2 linked regions of the Oryzias latipes genome follow. The main gene of each other region encodes a partner of the protein of the gene in region 2 in a complex. Links are inferred from orthologs where the notes say so. Each region holds a gene or a part of one and is shown on either strand. Other genes may lie near its edges.

Region 1 (3,291 bases), on a different chromosome or scaffold from region 2:
GATGCTCCAGGAAAGGGCGGAGCCAAGTCTGTTGTTTCTTAAGGCCCTCATGGCCATGATTTTACAGATACTCCGTACTGGATCACAAACAAAAAACACATTTCAAATGCCAAACTCAACGAAAGAAAGTTCAACTTGAATGGTATTTCTGGAACCAAGGTGATTACAGAATAAAGAGTCTTTTAGAACCTTGCTCCGACATCTGCCTCTGTTCACAAATGCGGAGGACCTTCAGTGCTTTCCGCTCCGTGTCTAAGGGAACGCGCTCAATCTGGAGCTCAAGGTAGACACGACCAAACTCGAGGCAGTGATCGAAGTAATCCACAGCCAACTGCCACAGACTGATCAACAGACAAACAAAAAGACATCCTTTAAGGGAAAACCTTCACAGAAAAATTCAAATAATTAAAAGGAGGACTTAAAAAACAAACCAACCTGTGATGAGTGAAGAGGCCAGAGGCATATTCCAACAGGAGGAATTCTCTTAAATTGGAACCAAAGCTGCAAAAACACAGAAAAACACTGAATAAAAGAAGTCCTAACCTCCAGACTAAAAAACTAAATCTGCACACAGGGTTCTTACTGTAGATTGTGAGACTGGAGGAGTTTGCAGTGATCCAGCAGGTCTGTCAGATGAGCCACAAACCACCAGTTGTTGAGAGCGATGCTGAGGCAAAAGGAAGAAATTGAATGTTTAAAGTAGATTTAAAATAAGTGTACTTGCATGCATCAGTCCCATTGTTGCACCTGCAGTCCTTAATAACTTGATGGATGTCAAACTCAAAGGCAGCCAGCAAGATGCTGTCCAGAGGTTCTGGTGCGCTCCTTGAGTCCAGAAACATGGTCATACACGACTGCAAAACACACAGGTACACTTAATATCTGGATGCAGCAGACATGAGTGCAAGTTTTGTAGAATAGTTCACCTGTGCATAGTAGTGCAACTCAGTGGGCTTTACAGTGGGATGACAGAACAGCAGTCTTGAGACAAGGAAGTGATACCAGGTTCCCAGGAGGTCTTTGTGCTCCAGTAAAGTGTCTTCATCACCCAGGAGGATCTAAAAAATAAAGAACAGAAATTATTGAAACATTTTATATCATATAGTTGAAACATTTGCACCAATTTATTAATCTGGTGCTGCTAAATGACTAAAATGTATTTTGGTGCCAGATTAGAAATTAAAACACACATTTAATATCCCAGAAATTGCCTACAGTGAAGCATGGCGGCGATAGCTTCATAATTTGAGCATGCATCATATCAGCCCATTGGGATTTAGCAAGAATTGAAGTGATTAAAACTGTTAACAGAAACGGGCGTATTTTTAGGAAAAGCCTACATTAGTACCAACAATGTTAGCATTTTGAAAATACACGATAGCATAAAAAGTAGTAACGGATGGACTGACCTTGCAGATGACCTCCAGATGTTGGTTGCTAGCAAAAGAGTTGTCCTGCAAGCAGCGGTCTACCTCTTCATGCCAGTGCCTCCACTTAACGTCAAACTCTGTCAGTGTCTGTGTGCCACCAGGCTGAAGACATACATGTGAGGATGAAAATGGACATTTTGAAATTGTTTGGTTCGTTATGTGTTTGAACACATTTAAAGGCAGGTCACCAGTCCCTCAGCCAAAACAGAGAAAGAAACTGATGCAGGAGTCGTCGTGCAAACTCCTCTTAAGGAGGCCACAACTTAGATTTAACCTTTATGGCAGGTAAATGACCATAAGTCATTCTTAACCCACAGACTAAAACCAGATAACTCCCATTGTACTTACATTGTAAAAAGGCATCTTGCTGAGTAAGTTATCCATCATCTTGTAGATGTTGTTTGCAGCAGGCGTTAGGGTGGCCTTTTTCCCCAGCATCTGTCTGGCTTCGTCCAACCTGCCCTGCAGCACATAACTCACCACCTGCACAGCACAACGAAACTCTCAGAGATCTCCAGTGGAGGCGGATCGTGTGTGTGCATGTCCCGCACTAACCACATCCCAGTAGTCTCGATGCTCAGCAGGGCTGTCACTCTGCAGCACGTCTCGAGCCTTTTCGTCTACGTCAGCCTTGTGCAGCCTCACCCAGTCCAGGAGGTGAAGCAGGAGCGAGCCGGCTGAAAGCATGCAAAACACACATCAATCATGAATGGGTTTTTATGGAGCCTTGCCTTTGTTTAGTTATAATAAAAGATATTTTGTTGTTAACTAAAAACTGAGATTCTAACCAGGAGCAGCATCGATGAAAAGGACTTCACACAGATTCCAGATCAGTTCTATAGCTAAAAGAATGGAGACCTGCAACAAAACAGACTGGATTAGGAACTAAATAATATTTAAGAGAAATGTTACTGATGAGTCAAGGGTTAAAATACAGATGAGCTCTGACTATTTAAAATGCAACAAAAATATGTCATTTAAAACATATTATAATGGCACAATGACAGCTTTACCCACAAAAAAGATCAGTAATGATTTATATTTGTACCGACAAGCAAAAATCCAAAATAAACAAGCTCCGACATGAATAAGAGTTTGTTTCAAGATCATACAGAAGACATTTCTAGTATAATAAGATCTCACAAATGCAGTTTGAAATAACATCAAAACTAGTCGACGTCTGCTTGGTTGATTTAAAAATCATTAAAAAAAATACACATTTTTTAATTCCTAAGAACAAATTATACACAAAATTATTTGAATTGTATTTATTACAGACCACTAAAATCCACATCCGAGGAAACAAAAAAATATTACGAATAGTAAAAAGATTAAAAAGAAGAGGAAAAAAACTATTATACGTTAATAAGTTAAAAAATTAAACTAATCACAATTTCTAAAAAGGAAAAGATGAAACTAAAGAATAAAAACACGTGCCTGGTTTCCATACTGTACGGACATCTCTGCGTTTTTTGTGGAAACTGCAAACAAAAAAGTACATGCCATTATAAAAAACTACACTGTAGGATTCGAAGATACACTTCATGATTCAGTTTAAAGAAGCTAACCTGCAACTTGCTGCAGCTCCTCCATACAGGCTCGAATAACAGATCTATAGTTTTTACTGATGCTGACAAACCTATAGAGCAAAACAGGAATTGTTTTTTTTTTTTACTTTAACACTGTTTGACATGAAATAGTTACATGTTGATGTTTTGCCTGTTTTCTTTTTCAATCTTTATGTCATCCCACTGATCAAAAAATTAAAAAGAAAATGTCAATAAAAACTAATTATTTGTGTAAGCTGAGCGGTCTCTCATCAGGAGACTTACTGAGGTTTCTTGTTCTTGCTGGGCAGATC
Region 2 (3,655 bases):
TTTAATTTTAGTCATTCTAACAGTTAGCATTCTTCGCTTAATTTTCCCTTTTTCAATGATTGTGTGAAACTCCTGTGTTTCTAGATCATTTTACAACTTTCTGGTGATTTCTTTCGAGTGTTTTTTTCCTCTTTTTAGGTTCCCTCCTTTTGCAGTGCATGCATGTACTCATACATGCATTTGTGCATCATCTCCTTCTTCCAAGAAAACAAAAAACTTTCACGTTAGTAAATGAAATAACCTAAGAGATTATGTGTGCGGCAGTTGTTGTGTACCATAATCTTCCAGGAGCTGCTTCTGTAACTGTGGCAGGGTGAGTCGGTCCTGAGGAGAGCTGCTGCCGTCGTCATCGAAGCACACCTGGTTCAACTGCACACATTCACATTCATTATTTAATCATTAATTATAACACGTTCATTAAGCAGCTCGACCATTCGTTTGCGTCAGCTGGGGTCCGTTCCTCAGACAGTTTCATTGTGAAAAGCAGAGGATAAATGTATCCTCCTTAGATTAATGCCAAACATGTTCAAAAGAATAATTTTGGTTAAAAATCTACAGTTACTTCAGGCTTTTAATCCAGATTTTAAGTACATTTGACTTGTTTTCTAGCACTTGTGTTATAAAACAAAGTTGGAAACCTACAAGGCAGAATGGCTTGATCTAAAATCATCCATTACTCGAAAATAATGCAGATTTTTACACAGAAAATTCAAAACTTGATCGTCACATTCACAAACTGATTTTCCTATTTAGAGATCTCTTGTATTTTCCAGGTAAAAAATGTGTTAAAATGTTAAAACTTTATTGATCTAGGATCCACTTTCGCTTACTTTTAGGAAAACAGCTTTATTGAAACAAATTCTGTGCAAAATTGATGGTGAGTTTAAACTGATTGCAGCAGTGAAATACCAAATGACCCAGAAAGGAATCAAGTAAATGAGGTGACCCGTACCTTCAGCCACAGATAATCTTCTGTCTTGTCCGCCACCTCTCCGTGGTTATCGTTGATGTCGCATTTCCCGATCAAGCAGTAGACGGCCCTCTTGTAGGGGTCGGCGCTGTTCCTCAGCACCCGGCGGTAGTGAAGACGGAGCTTGTTCTCCGAGGTCGGGCAAAGGCTAAAGACAGATCAAGTGTCAGACGACTGAAGACAAAAGATGCAGGGAACGATCTCATGCAAGCAGGCAATTGACGAAAGAAACGTACCGCCTGTCCGGGCTGTTCATGTACTCCTGAAACCAGGTCTTGAAGTCTCCCAGCTGATGTTGCACTCTGTTCACCACCTGCATGGCTGCGTTCAGATCGCCGCAGCGCAGACAGTAGTAGATCACCGCCCACACAGGGTGACCCTCCACTTCACCGTCCTGATGCACCAGAATAGAACCATTAAAAGGAAACCTAGCATGAAGAATGACCTGCTATTGACTTCAGGCAGTGAGGCTACGGGGCCACGATTATGGGGTCAGATCAGCATCAGCTTAAAGACATTTGAAGCAGTATAAAACTTGAAAGTACACATTGTCAACTTGAAAGAAAAAAAGTTTTTTTAAATGACTAAAAACTTGAATTAAAAAAGTATAAACCTAAAACTGTTTTCAGGTGAAAAAGAAAGTATTTGCAACAGCTGTTGTTTAGTGTCTATAATTTTGGGGTGTTTTTTGCCAGTGTTTAGCATTTCTCTCCCTCTTTGCTTAAAACCTGTGAACTGAGGTCAATCGTGTCCCGATAGCCAATGGGCTGAAAGCTCCACAAAAATGAGTGGAAACTCCAAAAAGTCTGATTTGAAACTGTAAATTGAGAAATGAAAAAAAAGGGAGAAAAAAATGAAAATACAAAACAGCTGCTGCAATAAATAAACATTTTTTCCTTTAAAAGTTGTAGGTATTTAGCATTTTATTCAAGTTTTCAGTATTATATAAATAAATTTCAAACATGCCAACTCCCCCCTGTATTTTCAGTATTTTTGTCAAATTTAAAATGTGTTTTTTCGCAAAGTGACTACTGATTAACGGAAGGTCAATTTAAGGAAACGTAAAATCAAAATTAGGAAACAAAGAAACAAAAGGATGAAGCAAACAGCCGCATGTCTTTTGACAAACTGTGCATGAAAAGTCCCTATTTTCAAGCCATTATTTCTGTTTGTTTGAATTTTCCCGCACTGAAGAGCTTGAGCTATTTAGCTAGGAGGTTAAGTGATTTACAACCGTTTACCAACTTTCGACACAGTGCGTCCTGGAAATGCTTGCGTTTAAGACAAAGAAAAAATGTAAATCCCATTTGACAGAAATTTAAACAATTTATTGCTTTATAAGTCCTTATTTAATTTAAATTAAATTCAACACCTTTAAAGGCTTTTTAAGGATCTCCGATTGAAGTGTAAAACAGTTCCAATCCTACTTTTTGTTTTCTTTTCTGGTTTTTCGTTCACTTCATCAAGCTGACCCTGGCTTGACCCCATACACGTTTCCTCACATTAACTCTTCATTCTAACTGATATACTGTAGGACTGATACCTGCATGCCAGGTAAGGGTCCGGGCAGTTTGATGTTCAGAAAACTGCGGACCAATTGGTACGTTCCAGGCACCCCTCCCAGTTGGGCCTGATGGAGGTTCCCGAAGACGGTCACCATGGTGTAGTTCTTGTAGCTGCAAAGAGGATGAAGACGTGATCGCATGTGGAACTTCTGACACTGGCTGGTTTGTTCTTTTTTACCATAAAAGTAGAACATTTAGATAAATTACTAAACTAAAATAGCTGACCCTCAGATCAATTCATCTTTTCTAATAAAATATTTTTCTGGGGTTACCTCTTTATCCTCAAATAAAAAACATCATAACCCTAAAAACTGGGAAAGTCTTGTTTTTGATGATTTTTTTTAAAAAGTTGAGCTTTTTCTGATCTATTCTGCATTAAAACGTCCGCATGACTTCCTGTTTGGCATTTCTCTTTCTAATCACACAATCAAATGACGTCAGTGTCGTCGTGGAAGTAATTGTTGTCCAATATAAGAAATGCACACACCTGTTCTCCAAGACGTTGAGTGCTTGACGAACAAAAGCCATCTGCATTTCAACAGAAGTTCGACTCTTCAGGGTGTCTTTAGCTGGAACCAGCAGAACGTCCGTCATCTGCTTCACCATCAGCCACATATCTGAAACGTTCTGGAGAACACAAATTATGTAATTTATTTCTTCAAGGTGGGCTATATAGACAATTTACTATTATTTTCTTTTTATAGATGGCTTCCCATCATTTTATATCACTTCTCCAGGTGCTGAACTGATAATGGTTTCTAATTATTTATAAAAAGGTAGAACAAATTTTCCCGACTTGTTATTATTATTATTTTTAACTAAAATGCACCTTCATATTTACTCCACTCAAAGATTTGGCAACAAAAGGCTACTGTTCTTACCTTATCATCAAGGCTTTCTGCCACCGATGCACATAAATCTCCCAGATTCGGGTGAATGTGTCCGTTCACTATCTTCTCGTTGAAAATGTAGATCTTTAGGTTGGAAAACGAAGAGACAAGAACATTTGAGCCCAGGTGAAGTAGCTCCAACAACCCTAAAGTCCTGAAATCCTCCCCTCACCTTCGAGGGTTCAAGTAAACGCTACGGAAACTGCAGGAAATGGTTCACAATAAAAAAG

The links.
Region 1: nup93 (region 2) and nup85 share a complex: the UniProt entries of both Homo sapiens proteins name them as parts of the nuclear pore complex. The link is inferred for Oryzias latipes from reciprocal best matches to the Homo sapiens genes NUP93 and NUP85.

Annotation. Positions count from the first base shown.
Region 1 is NC_019866.2:13,017,390-13,020,680, forward strand, and holds part of nup85 (nuclear pore complex protein Nup85), read right to left. Parts: coding exon 3,263-3,291; intron 3,070-3,262; coding exon 2,999-3,069; intron 2,912-2,998; coding exon 2,868-2,911; intron 2,289-2,867; coding exon 2,219-2,288; intron 2,108-2,218; coding exon 1,986-2,107; intron 1,914-1,985; coding exon 1,779-1,913; intron 1,533-1,778; coding exon 1,410-1,532; intron 1,059-1,409; coding exon 927-1,058; intron 855-926; coding exon 748-854; intron 668-747; coding exon 584-667; intron 502-583; coding exon 436-501; intron 342-435; coding exon 190-341; intron 78-189; coding exon 1-77. UniProt on the Homo sapiens protein: Essential component of the nuclear pore complex (NPC) that seems to be required for NPC assembly and maintenance. As part of the NPC Nup107-160 subcomplex plays a role in RNA export and in tethering NUP96/Nup98 and NUP153 to the nucleus.
Region 2 is NC_019864.2:28,042,375-28,046,029, reverse strand, and holds part of nup93 (nuclear pore complex protein Nup93), read right to left. Parts: intron 3,510-3,655; coding exon 3,417-3,509; intron 3,163-3,416; coding exon 3,023-3,162; intron 2,647-3,022; coding exon 2,514-2,646; intron 1,365-2,513; coding exon 1,207-1,364; intron 1,119-1,206; coding exon 953-1,118; intron 370-952; coding exon 276-369; intron 1-275. UniProt on the Homo sapiens protein: Plays a role in the nuclear pore complex (NPC) assembly and/or maintenance. May anchor nucleoporins, but not NUP153 and TPR, to the NPC. During renal development, regulates podocyte migration and proliferation through SMAD4 signaling.